Pelodiscus sinensis: one gene and its partner. The protein of the gene in region 1 interacts with the protein of each later gene in a pairwise test. Links are inferred from orthologs where the notes say so. Each region holds a gene or a part of one and is shown in the gene's direction. Other genes may lie near its edges.

Evidence for each region.
Region 2: the proteins of SF1 (region 1) and DDX17 interact in binary tests that used the Homo sapiens proteins (3 or more experiments, as listed by UniProt). The link is inferred for Pelodiscus sinensis from reciprocal best matches to the Homo sapiens genes SF1 and DDX17.

Annotation. Positions count from the first base shown.
Region 1 is NC_134721.1:35,855,296-35,863,834, reverse strand, and holds the start of SF1 (splicing factor 1), read left to right. Parts: upstream 1-5,090; 5' UTR 5,091-5,174; coding exon 5,175-5,664; intron 5,665-7,663; coding exon 7,664-7,792; intron 7,793-8,539. Other genes in the region: MAP4K2 (mitogen-activated protein kinase kinase kinase kinase 2), read left to right, coding at 33-210, 422-490, 586-672, 891-961, 1,201-1,256, 2,441-2,528. UniProt on the Homo sapiens protein: Necessary for the ATP-dependent first step of spliceosome assembly. Binds to the intron branch point sequence (BPS) 5'-UACUAAC-3' of the pre-mRNA. May act as transcription repressor.
Region 2 is NC_134711.1:91,724,151-91,732,792, forward strand, and holds the start of DDX17 (putative ATP-dependent RNA helicase DDX17), read left to right. Parts: upstream 1-4,586; 5' UTR 4,587-4,849; coding exon 4,850-4,893; intron 4,894-4,985; exon of another isoform or gene 4,986-5,315; intron 5,316-6,533; exon of another isoform or gene 6,534-6,551; intron 6,552-8,642. UniProt on the Homo sapiens protein: As an RNA helicase, unwinds RNA and alters RNA structures through ATP binding and hydrolysis.

The DNA of each region.
Region 1 (8,539 bases):
CTAAGATCTCAGCCTCCCCTTCCTCACCCCAGCATTTTCCTGTGGCCCTGCCCATGCCCCTGAGCCTGTTTGAACTGCTGGTGGTGGAGACGGAAGAGTACCCCCAGGTGTGTGTGTGTGTTGTGGACCGAGACCAGCCGGGCCAGGAGCTGGAGTTTAACGTCATTTCACTCAGCACCAACTCCAGCCTCAACATTGACAGCCCTGCAGGTAAGCGACACCTCAGTGGGAAACTGGACATGGAGTCTTTCCCCTTTAGGGGAAACTAACACACATGGGCCCCAGGGTGGCAGGGGACTGGAACTCAGGGTCTTTCCCCTCTGGAGGAATTGATGGGCTCAGAGGGGAAGGAATGGGGTACAAAACCTTTCCCTACTAGAAGGCTCAGCTCCCCTTGAGATTCCCTGTGTCTCCATTGCAGATGGGACCTCCAGTGTGGCCAGCCATGTGACTCAGATGGACAGAGACACAGTCCTCGTTTGCTTTGAGCGTAAGTCCCACCCCCAGCATGCCCCCGCCAGTCCCACCCCCATTGGCTCAGGCCTGGCCACTGTCGATGCTGACAGCCTCTCTTTCTTCCCACAGGCTATGTAAGGACAGTGAACTTGTGTGGGGCCCCCAAGAGAGCCCTGGCCTCAGAGCTCACTTTCAACTTCCCCATTGAGACAATTGGTGAGTGGGGGAAGGTCTCTTGGGGATAGAGCTTCCACTGGCCTGCTTATCTCCCGCATTCCAGCTTGGCCTGGTGATCTCAGGGGTTGTCCAACCTTCTCTTCCTCCTGTACTCTCCTACCTGCCCTGATAAGTGTCCTCCACATGCCAGCTTTCCAAGATGTGGTCATCCATAACATCTGCCACTCACCCCTGTCTTTCTGTCCTGCCCACCACAGTGTGCCTTCAAGACAGTGTGCTGGCCTTCTGGAAACATGGCATGCAGGGCCGCAGTCTGGAGAGCAATGAGGTGAGTGCAGGTCAGGGCTTGGGTGGATGCATCTACCTATCTTCCCTAGATGAGGGGGGATCAGACGCTGCAGGGGGGAATAACTTGGAGATGATGTATGCAGAGGTAGTATTGCTCCTGAGGGAGACTCTGTGATATAGGATCTATCCCCATCGTTGGGTAGGGGATGGAGATGCATTGACCCAGTAGGGATCTGGGCTGGGAGAACTCTGTGCTGATCTGAACCTTCTCCTTGACAGGTGACCCAAGAAATCACAGATAAATCCAGGATGTTCCGTGTGCTGGGAGCCAACAGGTGAGACCCCAAAGTGAGGATGTAGTCATGGCAGATGGCAGCAAGCAATTCTTGTCCTGCTGTCTCCACCCTCTGATCAAGTGGTATGGCTGCCCTGCTATAGCTCGCTACCCCCAGTCTGGCTGTGGTAGGAACCTGTTGCCAGCCTGCAAGGCTGGGACAGTGGGAAAATTATCTGGGAGACCAGGAGCTGAGAACTTTTTTCCTTCCTCTTGCCTAGGCCAGATCACTTTAGTAGCTGGTCTCCATCTTGCACACTCTAGTGTGTGCATCCTGTACCCTTGATCCTGTGGGATGTTACATGACTGGGTGGATTTGCAGGCTTGTCAGGGTTTGGGCTGCATTCTGGGCAAGCCAGAGGTTGCATGGTGAATGTGCTGTATTAGGGACTGGGTTTGTATAACTGGGATGAAGTTATGCTGCTGTGCTTATCATTGCAGTATCAGAGCACGTGCCAGGAGCACATTAAGCATAAAGTGGTGGTTCTTTTGTCATCTTGCTAAGGGAGAAGCATGTGTGGGGAGTTTAGTTTGGGTTTATACAGCCAGTTCCCGACTTACGTTCCAAACACCTGATTGTAACTCCATTTGTTCGTAAGTCGGAAATACATGCTTTTACATACAGCCACACTGTTCGTAAGTGTGGATGGTGCATTCGTTAGTCGGGGACCAGCTGTAATGGGATTAATGGGAGGTTGGTCATAAGTGTGGATGGTCATAAGTCGATGCTTTTGTAAGTCGGGGACTGGCTGTATAATGAAATGCTGTTATGTTTATATGAGAAATGATGAGGTCAGATAAATGTGCCCAGCACTTGAACCAAGAGTTGATTTTGCATGGTTGGATTGGAGAGGCTGATTTTGCATGGTGGCCAAGGTTGTGTGATTGGGTTGAGGGGGGAGGGCTGGAGTTGCGTAGAGGGTTTGGTTTTGTGTGATAGGTAGACTGCATTCATGGCTGTGGGACTGGAATGGGGTCTAGATTGGGTGGTGGAATACATTCATGGCTGGGGCTGGCTTTGCTGAGTTGCATTCCTAGCTACATCTCTCAAGTCACCTTTGAGCAAAACAGTCGTCCTGTTCTGCTCAAAAAACATTCTGACCATGAATTGTTAGTCTTTAAGGCTCCATAGTTGTTTTTGCGGAAACAGACTAACACAGCTACCTCCCTGAAATTTCTTTCCAGAGATGTAATCCTGGAGAGCACGCCTACGGAGAATCCTTTAGCTCACAGCAACCTCTACATCCTAACGGGGCATGAGAGCAGCTATTGAGTATGTGGAACTGCCTTTCCAACATCCCCATGGGGATGGATGCAGAGCCCCAGTGCAAGGGGAAATTCTGCTGTGATGATTTAAACTACTGATTTCTGAGATAGCAGGAGCCTAGGGAACTCTTCCCATGAGCAAGGTCCATCTTGTGTTGTGGGAATCCATGCCAGATGGATTCTATTTTATAAACTCTACAGTCCACCTCTTCTGTTGTCCAAAGTCTTCCTGAGATACTCCTGTTTTTCAGAAGTGTATGGAGAGATTCCTTCTGCCCTTTTAGAGTGAGCATCTCCTGAGACTCTTATGTTTGCAATAATTGACTACCAGCCAGTCCAAAGAAGCCTCCTTAGTCTGTCTTGACTGATACTTGTGCCTGCTGAATGCTTCCTCTTCTCTCCTCCCCACCCCATTCTTAATCCTAAGAAGGGGTCTTCTGGAGAGACATGTTGTGAAAGTGTCCTCCTCCAGCTTCAACATGAAGACAATCCATTTTCCAGTGGGTGCATTCTTTTTCCTATGTAGCACTTAAGGTCCAGAAATCTGGCAAACATCTTCAGCAAAAGGAGTGGGAAAGCAATTCTGTGTCTTCTCATTCAAAGTGTAAGCAACAAGCAAAGCTTGAGGTGGGACAAACCTGTTGAATCAGTGGCTGGGATACCTATTTGACTGTTTTGGTAATGGTTGGGCAGGTTGCTTGGCTGCATGAGTTCTGATGAGGGGAAGAGTGTGATGGCTGGTTGGGCATAGGTTGGCTGGTTTAAGTAGCTGGGTGATGGCTTGGTGGCAGAGAGTTGAGTGCTTGTTGGTAGGGAGTGGTGATTAGCAGGATGAGGTGGTGGTTTGGTTTGGAAGTGGCTGGGGCAATACTTGGGTGAATGAGGGGAAATATGGGTTTGGCTGATGAGGCAATGTGAGGGACTTGTTTAGTGAGTAAGCCAATTGCTTCGCAGGGTGGGGTGGCTGATTGGTATAAAAGAGGTTTGAGAGTATCTGCTACAGAGAGACTGGATGCATGGTTGGCATTCTGAGCATGAAAAGATGGGTGGGTGGGTGGGTGGATGGATGACTGTTTTAAAATGAAGCAGACTGCTTCACTACCAGGCAGTGTGTTAAACTGGCTGGCTGTTGGGATGCCTTGTTCTTTTGCTGCCTTGGAAAACTGTGCCAATCCTAAATGCCATTGTGACAGAGATCAGAATCTTGGGGCCAACAGCTCTACTAACTCAGGCAGTGGAAGCTTCCCTTTCTGTTTTGCTAATTTCTCTGTTTTTTAACTGAGAGCTGGAATTTATGGATAAAAAACAAAACTTGAAAAAATATGCTATTTAAGAGATATATTGATATTAAATGTGTCTTTTGTTTGCTTGGTGTTAATTGGCTGAATCATTCCTAGGGGAGAGCCATTGGGGCCTCTTTGCCTATTCAGGTCCACTGCTGTCCTTTCTAGTTTTTATTGCTGTCACACTAATTGGTAAGGACTGGTTTTCAGTCCTGCCTGAAACCCCCTTCTTCCTCCATGAGAACTGTTGTTTATCATGGGATGGGGTAATAGTCCCAGCCACTATCACTGGGACCTGGGCAGGGGTAAGGAGAACACAGTTGTGTGTTTGTGGGCTGGGACTACGCTCTCCTTGCAAGTGAAATGTAGCCTCGGAGAAGGGCTGAAGACTAGGGATGTAAAACATGTATTTGTGTAAACATGTAACCGCTGGGTTCTTAGCAGTTACAGGCAGCAGCAGTCAGTGCTTGTGGGGAGCTGGCTTTTAAGCCGTAGCCTTCATCTCCCGGCTCACCCCTATAGTTTTGCTGTGCACCACGGTGCAGGTGATGTGGCCTAGCACCGCCTTCCCCAAGCCTAGTTCCCAGGAGCCCCTCGGGCTGCAGCAGGGTGAGGAGGAGGAGGCTAGGCTCCCATGAGCCCCTGACAGGGGGAGGCGGTGCCTGCACTCACTGGGGCTCTGGGGCACAGCTTCGCACCCAGGATCGCTCCCGCCCTATCACTCACCAATCAGAGAATGCTCCGTTAATTGAAAGACCCTTTCACCAATCATGGGCGACTGCGCTGCGCTCTGCCCAATAAGAGGAAACCTCCGCATTAACGTCACGACCAACCGACCCCGCACTGTACGGGGTCTTCCAACGACCTTTGCAAAACCTCTAAGGCGCGCCGCGAGTGTCGCAAGACCGCCCCCTCCCCCAATCCAGACGCAGCTCGATATCCCGAGAGCCCGCCCTCCGTCTCTTCAACCAGTCCTAACACGGAAACCTAACTGTGTTCCCGCCCACCGTGCCACACTGCAAGTACCGCGCCTTAAATGCCCAGTCAACCAATCATAACTTGTCTTTCATCCCTCCTTCTCACGCATACTGCCGCTCAACCATTCCCATCACTGTTCGCTAGAGAGTGACATCTCATCTGACCTATGGGTGTTGCCTTCAGCACTTGTCTCCTCTCCTCCAATGACTTTCTTTCACTGGAGCGGCTCGGCCAATGTATCAGCGCGGTTGGCTAACGGACGCATGGCGCTGCCAATAGAAGGACGTGCGCGTACGACTGACATCTCGGCGGCCAATGATTTTCGAGTAGCTTTGTGAGGCGCATAGGCTGGAAGGTTCGCGAAACGCGAACGCCGCGCTGAGGAGACTCTAATGGCGGCGACTGGAGCCAACGCCACGCCGCTAGGGAAGCTCCATCCACCCCCACCACCGGGGAAGCCAGGTTACCCGATGCCTCCGCCGGGTCCACCTGGGCTGGTCCTCCCGGGTCCTCCTCCTCCACCGCCGCCAGGCCCGGGCCAGGCCCAAGCCGCCTTGCTGGGGCCTATGGCGGCTGCTGCCTACCCCTTCGCCGCGCTGCCGCCGCCGCCCCCTCCTCCACCCCCACCTCCCCCGCCGCCCCAGCCTCAGCCCCCGCCGCAGCAACCGCAGCCCCCGCCGCCCCCACCGCCGCCGCCTCCTCCACAACAACAGCAGCAGCCGCCCCAGGCTGGGGGGCCTCAGGCTCCCCCTCAGTACGGGCAGTACCGCTACCCGTCCCCGCCGCCGCCCCCGCAGGGCCATGAGCAACAGCAGCAGCAGCCGCCGCCGCAGCAACAACCGCAGCAGGATGAGAGCGGCCCGGGAGGGGGCAGTAACCACGGTGAGGAGCAGGACGAAAGGGGGTCGGAGAGGGAGGGTCATAAGAGTGGGGCTAGGAAGAATTGTAGGTTGGGTGTGGGGCTGCAGATGAACCGTCGGGCGGTATGAGGGTCTATAGAAGTAAGAGGCAAGCACTGCGAGGGAGCGATGGACGTTGGGAAGCTGGAGCGGTGGGTGTTATGTGTAAATGTGGCAGTGTTCGGTGAGGGAACTGGCTCGGCACCTTTTGAAGCTAGTTGCGAGTCTAGGCTGGGTAGGCAATTTTGGGGGACGTTACAGTGAAAAAGTGAAGGCATTGGGGCTTTTGAGATGGCCATGGGGAGTTAAAGGGGCTGAAACGGAGAGAGAGTTATAGTTTTGGCAATTGTGGGATGGGGTAGAAGTGGAATGGGTAAAATGGTGTTTAAGGGTTCATGGGATGAGACGTCTCTTGACACTTTGTAGGGGTATTGCAGGGAAAGAGGTATATTTGAGAATGGAAGGAAGTGATGGTGTTGAGTACTGGGAAAGAGGAAAAGGGTTGTGACTAATAAAAGGTTGAATGAGATGGGGATAAATAGGAGTAGGATGAGACTAGATTGATAAATGGAGAATGAGTCTAGGTGGAAGATGAACCAGCCAAATATGGGGAAATGAAGGGGAACAGGATGGGTTGAGGTGTTGGCTGTTTTCTTTGAAGAAAGAGAATTGAGCAAGGGAACATTCTTAATTGGAGAGTGGGTTTGTGGCTAGGAAGATGGATGGAAAGACTTGGTTGTGGGTACCAAGAGGAAAAAAAAGATCTGAGTGTTGATATCTTAAAACGGGGGTTCTAAACATGTGGGCATGTGCTGTTCAGTGGAAGCTTTGGGCACAAAACTGAAGTCCCAAAACACTGAACAGCCTGAGATTGGTATTCTTGGAAGAAAGGAGGCCTGGTGGTGTTTATAGGCATTAGCAGATACTCATGCAACCAAAATGGAGGTCTGTGTAGTATTGGGAAGAAATGAGGGTAAAAGCTACCATGGTCTCTTCTTTCACTTTCTGTTTTTGCTGGTCTCTCTTTTTAGCAAAATGATTAGAGATAGCTAATCCTGTTAATCTTCTAATCTTTACAATAAGAGCTCATTTTGGAAATCTGTATTTAAATCATAACAGAATGCTTTTCTGTGTGAAGGCACGTGAAAGCTCAGCATAAAAAAGGAGCAGTAACAATTTCCTACACACTGTTAAAGGAAAACTGCTGTGGGTATAGATAGTTTCCCATCACATCATCCAATGTAAATATCCCAGGTCTTGTAATGTGTACAAAGAGGCTGAATGTGAAATGGTGCTGTGAGGCAGCCATGTTGCTTTACTGATGGAAATCAGAACTGTAACATTCCCTTTAAAAATGGTGGCAGAAATTATTAGAAAAATAGTGTTGGATTCTAGAGTAATGTTTTTTCTTTAGAGAGCCTTCCTGTTTTCAGTTGGTTTGACTAGCTTGATTGAGGAGCATAATTTTGTAGTTGATATCACTGTTCTGTTGAACTCAAGTCTACTGAGTTTGTCCCTTGCTTATTTGCTGACAATAAATACATCTTTTAACATGGCAACATGGCTGCTTTTGCTTGTTTTTGTCTACGTATTGTGGTAGCACCCAATGGCCTGAACATAGATAGCATTCACACAGTACTAGGTGCTGTGCAAACACGGTGACAGTAAAAACATAAAGGCTGAATAGACAGGGAGTAGAGTGGAAACCGGCATAGCACAGAGGTAAAGTTATTTGTCCAAAGTCAATTGGCAGGTCAGTGATTGAACTGAAATTATATCCACTAAAACTGTGTGCAACTTTTCTCATCCCTATAAGAGATTTGGTATTGGAAGGAGTGTAGGTTGCCTTGTCAGTATTTTTTATTTAAGGGAATTCTGTGTGCTCAGTGTTGCTGTTAATAACTTTTGTGTTATGTTATGTTATGTTGTAGAAACACCTTCAAACATACAAAGTTTGTCTAAAAAAGGATGCTTGCCTTTAGATTTCCCTAATAAGAAGCGGAAGAGAAGCAGATGGAACCAAGACACCATGGAGCAGAAGACTGTCATCCCAGGAATGCCCACTGTTATCCCTCCTGGACTCACTCGTGAGCAAGAGAGAGCTTATATAGGTAAATACACGTTCTCCCCTTTTCCCATCTGATCTGCTGTCAGTGGTGATCCTATTTCTGGATTCTGAGTGATTTGAAAGTTAACCTTTTTTTTCTAGACTTCAGGTTATTATGGCCTTATTACATAACTTCAAATCAATAATTCTCACACATTTGCTCAGTCATGCACTGTTGCAGCTCCCCTCTCCTGCTTGTGACAGGAGTAATGTTCTCCACAGGCATGGTGAAAATGGAATGGCTAGAATAGTTTTTGTAGGTGTGATAGTCCTTTCTCTAGATATATTGGCCCTTATTCTGGAGGTGTACTTAATAATCTCATTACAGTTGGTGGGAGCCTCTAGAATTACCTCTCCAGTGGAGAACATTGCCTCCAAGTCCCTCTTCACACTGTAGTATGTGGGAAGCAGGTGCCTCCTTTCACAGCACAGCTGTACACCAGAAATGTCCCCACCCCAACCTAGTCTCTGACTTACTTTTAGGGTGCTTAATTTAAAAAAATAACCTTCCTAGAAGTTCAGTTTTGCATTCAAGGTGGTATTGATCACATTGGTTTTGCTGTCAGGGAAATTAAGAAACTTTTTTTCTGTGTGGCAAGAAATCTAAACTTTCAGCATCTCTTCTAGTTAGAGCTCTGCTTAATGAACTCTGTATTCACATGCACACAAACTGCTGAGCAAGGGATATGGCTTAGTTATGTGGGTATGAAGGGATTTGAAATATTAGTTGTGAAAATGGGGAATTTCAAAG
Region 2 (8,642 bases), on another chromosome or scaffold:
ACCCAAATCCCTCAGTCTCTCCTCGAAGGTCATGTGCTCCAGCCCCCTAATCATTTTGATCGCCCTTTGCTGGACCCTCTCCAATGCATCCACATCCTTTCTATAGTGGGCGCCCCAGAACTGGACACAGTACTCCAGTTGTGGCCTCACCAGAGCCGAATAAAGGGGAATAATCACTCCTCTGAATCTGCTGGCAATGCTCCTCCTAATGCGCCCTAATATGCCATTAGCCTTCTTGGCTACAAGGGCACACTGTTGACTCATATCCAGCTTCTCATCCACTGTAATCCCCAGGTCCTTTTCTGCAGAACTGCTACTTAGCTATTCGGTCCCCAGCCTGTAACAATGCTTGGGATTCTTCCGTCCCAAGTGCAGGACTCTACACTTGTCGTTGTTGAACCACATCAGATTTCTTTTGGCCCAATCCTCTAATCTGTCCAGGTCACTCTGGACTCTATCCCTGTCCTCCAGTGTATCTACCTCTCCCCCTAGCTTAGTGTCATCTGCGAACTTGCTGAGGGTGCAATCCATCCCCTCATCCAGGTCATTAATAAAGATGTTGAACAAAATCGGTCCTAGAACAGATCCTCGGGGCACTCCGCTAGAAACCGACCGCCAACCTGACATTGAGCCATTGATCACTACCTGTTGGGCTCGACAGTCTAGCCAGCTTTCTATCCATCTTACAGTACATGTATTGAATCCATACTCCCTTAACTTGCTGGCAAGAATATTGTGGGAGACCTTATCAAAAGCTTTGCTAAAGTCAAGGTATATCACATCCATTGACTTTCCCATATCCACAGAGCCAGTTATCTCATCATAGAAGCTAATCAGATTGGTCAGGCACGACTTGCCCTTTGTGAATCCATGTTGACTATTCCTGATCACTTTCCCCTCTTCCAAGTGCTTCAAAATGGATTCCTTGAGGATCCCCTCCATGATTTTTCCAGGGACTGAGGTAAGCCTGACGGGTCTGTAGTTTCCTCGATTGTCCTTCTTCCCTTTTTTAAAGATGGGCACTACATTTGCCTTTTTCAAATCATCCAGGATCTCTCCCGATCTCCACGAGTTTTCAAAGATAATGGCCAAAGGCTCCGCGATGACATTTGCCAATTCCCTCAGTACCTTCGGTTTCATTAAATCCGGGCCCATGGATTTGTGTATATTTAGCTTTTCTAAATAGTTCCTAACTTTTTCTTTCCCCACCAAGGGCTGTCCACCTCCTTCCCATACTGCATTGCCTAGTGCATTTGTCTGGGAGCTGACCTTGTCCGTGAAGACAGAGGCAAAGAAAGCATTGAGTACTTCAGCTTTTCCCACATCATCTGTCACTAGGTTACCTCCCTCATCCAGCAAGGGCCCCACACCTTCTCTGATCACCCTCTTATTGCTAACATGCCTGTAGAAACCTTTCTTTTTTTCCTTCACGTCCCTTGCTAATTCCAGTTGCACTTTCACCTTCCCGATAACTCCCCTGCATTCTTGAGCAATATATTTATACTCCTTTCTAGTCATCTGGTTGCCTACCATATTTGCTTCTCTTGCTGTGCATCAGGATGGTTTCTTCCTGTGCCTTTAATAAGGCTTCTTTAAAATACTGCCAGCTCTCCTGGACTCCTTTCCCCTTCATGTAAGTATTCCAGGGAATCCTACCCATCAGTTCTCTGAGTTAATCGCATTGATAAACAAGAGAATACCAATTGAAATGTATTAAATATTGTGGACATTTTTCTATATTTTCAATTACAATACAAAATGTACAGTGCTTACTTTTTTTAAAATTACAAATATTTGAACTGTAAAATGATGAAAAAATAGTACCTCTTTATACTTTGGCCATCATGCCAGAGAACATGCCTCCAGGCTGATGATGCACATTAAAAAATAATGTTAATTACATTTGTGACTGAACTCCTTAGGGGAGAATTGTATGTCTCATGCTGTGTAGTACCTGCATTCTGCCATATATTTAATGTTGTAGCAGTCTAGGAAGATGACCCAGCAAATGTTGTTCATTTTAAGAACACTTTCACTGCAATTTTGACAAAACACAAAGAAGTTCTAAAGCTAACTACAGCACTTGACCCAAGGTTTAAGAATCAGAAGTACCTTCCAAAATCTGAGGGAGAAGGTGTGGAACATGCTTTCAGAATGGGAGCTGAAGTGTGAAGGGACGAATCTTTAGCACATCAGGCATGTAAATATTTTGTGATGCTGGCTACAACCATGTCATGCAAACAACTGTTTTTCCTTTCAGGTGACATTTTAAACATGGAGCAGGCAGCATTATCCCTTGCAAATGTAAACACATTTGTTTGAGTGGACAAGAAGTAGGATTCAGTGGACTTGTAGGCTCTAAAGTTTCACATTGTTTTATTTTTAAATGCAGTTATTTTTTGTATATGTCTACTTTTTTAATTTCAACTTTCAGGATAAAGAGATTGCATTATAGTACTTATAATGGGGAACTGAAAAATACTATTTTTTTACAGTGTAAATATTTGTACAAAAAATAAAGTGAGCACTGTACACTACATATTCTGTGTTGTAATTGACATAAAATATTGAAAAGATGGAAACATCCAAAATATTCAAAAATATAGTATTCTATTATTGTTTAAGAGCATGGTTAGCCACATGATTAATTGTGATTCATTTCTAATCACATGATTAATCACAATCAATTTTTTTAATCATTTGACAGCTTCACTGAAAATGCTTGCATCTGTTGTCCATTTTAAAAAATGTAATGGTAGTAATCCCAGTGTTCTGGCCATATTCTAATTTAAATTAAGTAGATAGTTGAAGTTCCCCTGTTGTTTCAAGTGGACATATTTTTATCTACCTCCCATCTGTGTATTTATGCAGTTAAAGAATGTGTAGCTTCTTCACCAGAGGTGACTAATTTGAGGTGTATGAATTGTGATGCCTGGATATCATTTATATGGATCAGATCCTTTTCTTTGAGAGGCAAAAAAGCTTGTGTAAGGCACAACAATTATGCAAAGGTTTCCCTTTAGGGCTTCTTTTTTGCTGCTAACACTTGAGATATTGTGGGGGTGATGCTCCTGCAAAGCAAATACCTGGCAGCTCCGCACCCTGCCCTCAGACAGTGTTTCCATAGCATTGGAATGACATTGCAGAGCTCCCCAGCATTCAGGTCAGTGGAGTTTTATGCTTTCCACTTGTGGAAGCATGGAAAATAATAGGGCCATAAAAATACTTTGGTATCCTTCAGAATAAAAAGGACCAGAGGAATACAATATACATAGTCAAATTCATTTCTCATTTACAAATCTATGAATGCCTATTGATTCCAGTGGAGTTACACAAATGTAAGAGAAGGAAGTATTTTGCCAATTATTATTACAAGATTATGAAAGGATTTAAAATATTGTCCTTATTAACACTAAAACATGTAAACTTTTAAGTTGTAACAATACTTCAAAACACGCAATATATCACCACACAAAATAGCATTGTTTGCCCTGTTTTTGTAGCTGTGTTGGTCCGGAGAGAGACAGGGTGAGGTAATACTTTTTATCGAACCAGCTTCTGTGAGTAAAAGAGAAACTTTCAAGCTTCACCTTCTAGGCAGTGGAATAGTGCTTGTCAATGCTTCTGTACTTTTGTTTTTTGACCAGATCGCAAGGAATCTCCTTCCTATTGAAGGGGCTGTAATTATTTCACGTAAATAATTACATTAATTTAGCTAAATTTCCTTCCCCTTTCTTTTTGCTTTACTGGAAACAAGGAGAGAGTAAATATCATGGCGGCTGCTACTGGCCTCGTCCTGTCTGTGCACTGCGGCAAGATCGCTTTTATGACATGTGTAGGCAAACAAACATGCACTTTACACGACAACCCCTTCTCTGCCCCAGCAGACACTGAGCTTAAATGTTGTGTCAGCCTGGTGAGTTTCCTGAACAAGACGCAGCCTGGGGGTGAGGGTGGGGGGGATTTCTTAGGCAGCAGAGCTAAATTGCACCAAGGCCTTTTCAACTCTGCAGCTTGCCACACAGAATTATTGTCTCTCCAGCTTGCTGCCACCTCCCACTCATGCAGTTGCTGCAAAGGCAAAAAGACCTTATTCTCCAAGCACAATACGCTACGCGAACCATGCAATTCTGCACCCCCCCCCTCCGCCGGCCAGCTGAGCAGAAGCAACTGAAGAATTTTACGCAAAATGGAAGGCTCTTCCTTCCCCTACGCTAAACCCAGCTCAGAACCAGCCACTGCTACGAAACTTGTGTAGAATAATGTACGTAATATGCCGCTTGGTCAGGGTTTGCCTCCCCGTTCGTTAAATGGGTTACTTGAGTGGCATTTTGCGCAATCGAATTTCGGGAATAAGGAACAGCGTTGTCTCCAAACGCAAGAAGCCAAATCAGATCGTGGGTACTACGCAATTTGCGCATTGTCGTGGTTAGGTTCGGCTTTCCGGCCTCATACGTACTCAGACTTCGAGAATAGGCGTAGCGACGTTCGTATCACCCCTCCCCCACGCCGGCTATTCAGGGACGGAGCTTGCGCAAAGTTCAAGCCGCCCTTAACGTAAGTGGAGCGGGCTGGGGCGGCGGCAGCCATTTTGTGCCGGGAGCCCAGAGGAGGAGGACGCTGTTCTGTCTCCGCGCCCGACGGGCCCTCAGGCGAACCGAGCCGCTCTCGGCCCCGCGAACCGAGCCCGACCGAGTCTCTCGCCTCCCCGCCCCCTCCCTCGGGAAGTGAGGCGGCCAAAGGCGACTCCGCCGGGACACAACAGCCGCCGCCGGCCGAGCCCCCCCACCCCTTCCGCGCCACCCCCAGCTCGCGCCCCTCTGTGCCCCCCGCCCAGCCCCACGGGAAGATGCGGGGCTTCGGAGACCGGGGCCGGGACCGCGACCGCGGCGGGTAAGAGCGGGGGGGTGGGGGGAGCGCGGTGTGGGGGAGGGGCGGCGGGGAAGTAGCCAGGCAACGCCCCGGGGCTGGGCCGCGGGGGTCACCTCCTCGGGCCGTGGACTGGGAAGGTCTTGGACTCGGCTGGATCCAAGGCGAGGCGGTTCCGGGTCTGTGAGGAGCCGCTGGCGGGTGACCCGAGGGGAGGCCGCGGGGGGGCTCTTCGGATTGGAGAGTGAGGGGCCCTAGGTCGCCGCCCGGCTCGGGAGGAATCGCCCCCGCGCACCTTTGTTCCTGCTCTTGCGGTGTCTGGCGCGAGAGGGACGGGGCCGTTTCCCCTCTGGCCGGCAGGATACCCCCCCCCCCCTTCCCTGTCACTGGGTTCGAGTTCATGGCCTTTGACTTCGCTTCTCCTTCTTCCGCACTGGTCACACTTTGAGCCGTAAGGATCCCTCTTCCTCAAGCTGCTGGCCTTGCTTTAGGACTCTGCTTGCCAGGGACAGCACACGGAGTTTGTGGAGGGGACTGGTCCTGACCCTTTTTCTGAATGTCATGGCTATTAACGTGGCCAGAAAAATGGTTGTTAAATAACAGTGCCTATTTCTGCAGTATTCCTAGCCCCTGTTGAAGGTGATGGTGAAAACAGACATGAAAAGTGAACGTGAGCCTTTTGTGTAGTAGCAAAGAGCCCTTAAGCCTGATGAGTGTACCCAGGGTAAGGGGTGGAAAAATCTGCAATCAAACTACGATGTTCCATATTGCTGTGCCTATCAAGTTGGTTCCTTGCTCTTTTGATATCACTCATCATGGGGCCTAATAGAGTTTAGGAAAATAGGATTCAGTTGAGCTCTGATTTTGGGGAACAAGTATAAGACCTCATTTAATCATAAAATAGAAAATATATGAATGGTCCGGGATTGATATTTGAGTACTTGATTTAGTAGAATGGGGTTAAGAAATGGCAATACCTCAAGTTTTTCCTGGAAAAGACTAGTAGGGATTAAAGAGAAGGAATTGGGTCCTGACAGAGAGCAAATAAAATATACTTACTCCTTGTCTTATTTCTCCTTTGACTGATTTTTGAGTCAAGAAATGTGCCTGTTTGCTATATTCAAATGTATTTCCCCTTTTCTCAAGATGAAGTTGAACAATGTTTTGTTAAAATTATCTTTCCCAATAGACTGGATAATCTAAGAGCTCCACTTCAATTTTATATTCACATCAGACATACATATAAGTAACTCCCATCTGAAATATAAAGATCCTTTCAGTTACATTGCAGAGAATAGGGCCTTTTTGTTTTTCCACTATAAGCTTTCTAGTTCAGTGAAAAGCAGGTCTTGGGGTAAATGGTTTGGTGAATCTCAGATGACTTAGTCCCTAGCTGTTTTTAGAGTTAAGTGAAGAGTAATGGTATTCAGAACTATACATAGGTATTTAAAGGGACGCTATCCAGATTTTGAGGCATCAGCATTTGACCTGCCTTTACATATAATCCTATTTTGAGTAAAAATATGCTTTTAAAAAACTTTATTTTCAGATTTTATTAAGCCATGTTTTGGGTAGAACCTACAGAAATACAATACTTTGTTCTCTTTAGAATTATGCTGACGTTGATTCACCTTGCATCATCAAAATGTATTATGACAGGGTTTAGAGTGACCACAGGAAAGGTATTTATAATAATCTTATTTCATATCCATGAAAAATGAAGGTGGGAGAAAATAGTCTTGTCAAAAAGAAAAGGACAGAGTCAGGAATAGGGAAACTACTTGACAATGAATCTTACAAAAAAAAGTTTTAATTCACAGAAAGCTATAAATTATGGGCTTTGGCCCTGATCTCATTCCAAGTAATATTTGGCTTTGTTGCATAGCTTTATGAATTGCTACAAAAAGTCACAACTTTTTGTAATATAAACTGGATTGTGTGTGTGTGTGTGTGCGCGCGCGCCTGTGCATGTATCAGATAGTGAAACAGTAACAAGTATTTCTAATATTGAAAACTCTATTCCTGAATGGTTCCATACCAAAAATTCAGCACATCATAACTTTAAAAAAATTATTTCTGAGATCTAAAACAATGTTTTTTATGACTTGCAGTAATGGAAAATTGTATGGTGGGATTTGAAAGATAATTAGATAGTCCACTTACTGTGTTAGACAAACTTCAGTTGGATGTTTACTTTCTAGTTGCACTCAATTCTTGTTGCAGAGTCATTTAGATCTGGATTTTTGTGTGTCTTGTCCTGAATAAGTTGTTAATGACCTTAATAACACTGATATGGTGCAGTTTTACTTTAGCACTTGAATAAGATGCTGTAGCATTAAGTTCTGGAGGTAGCTGCATTTCAGTTATTGGTGAAGTGAATCAGTCACCACTGAACAAGGACAAATAATGCCATGCAAATAAGCAGAATTACTCTAGGTTTACAATTGAAATTGTAATCTGTTCCATATCAGTAATAGGGTTGTTAAATATCAAGTAATTGACTAATCAAATAGTCGATGCATTTTGCAATGACTATTTGATTAGTCGATAGGGCGCCTTCCACCTTTGAATTGTAGCAAAAGCCCTACACTTCAAAGGTGGAGGCACTGCATGGAGCCCAAGGTCAGCTGTTGACTCCCCCGTTGATCCTGGGCTCCATGCAGAACTGCAGCTTTGAAGCATTGCAGGGAGCCCGGTGTCAGGCTCCTCATGACGTTTCAAAGTGGCAGCGCCCTGTGGAGCCTGGGGACTCCTCCCGGTGACCCTGGGGGCTGCATGCGGCATTTCAAAGTGGCAGCACCTTGTAGAGCCCAGGGTGTGGTCCCAGGCTCCACGTGGTGGTGCTGCTTTGAAGTACCCCTTTCTCTCCCTCCACCCTCCCACCTCTTTCTGATAGGCAGCAAGGAGAGGGGAGAGTGACTAGTTGGCTAGCCTGTCGACTATCCGATAAGCATTTGCTTATCAGATAGTCATTCACGTCCCTAATCAGTATGTGAAATGTGAGGTACCTCAGGATCAAAATATGATGTGTTGGGGTATTAAATGCTAAAATACTCACTTTTTGGAAAGCCAATCTAAAGCTATATATGTGTAAGCAGAGCCACATGGAACTGAATCTCTTGACACTGCATTGTGGTTTTGTGTGTTGATGACAGTAAAACCCTTAGGCTGTGTCTACACTGGGCCACTTATTCTGGAATAGCAGCCGTTTTTCCGGAATAAGCTGCGAGCTGTCTACACTGGCCGCTTGCTTTTCCGGAAAAGCAATGATGATCTAATGTAAAATCGTCATTGTTTTTCCGGAAAAACTATGCTGCTCCTGTTTGGGCAAAAGTCCTTTTCCGGAAAAACTGTTCCGGAAAAGGGCCAGTGTAGGCAGCACAGTAGTCTTTTCCGCAAAAAAGCCCCGATCACGAAAATGACGATCGGGGCTTTTTTGCGGAAAAGCATGTCTACATTGGCACGGACGCTTTTCCGGAAAAAGTGCTTTTCCGGAAAAGCATCCTGCCAATGTAGACGCGCTTTTCCGGAAATACTTATAACGGAAAAACTGTTCCGTTTTAAGCATTTCCGGAAAAGGGTGCCAGTGTAGACGTAGCCATATTATTGTCCAAATATCTAAGACCTCAAACTTGCAAACATTCATGCATATATTTTAATTTTTACTCATCTGCGGTAGTGCTGTTGTCCTCAGCACTAAATTACCCACGTTCATACCTTCAAGCTTTAAACTAGCTTAGTCTGAAGAATGAATTCAATAAACATGACAATGC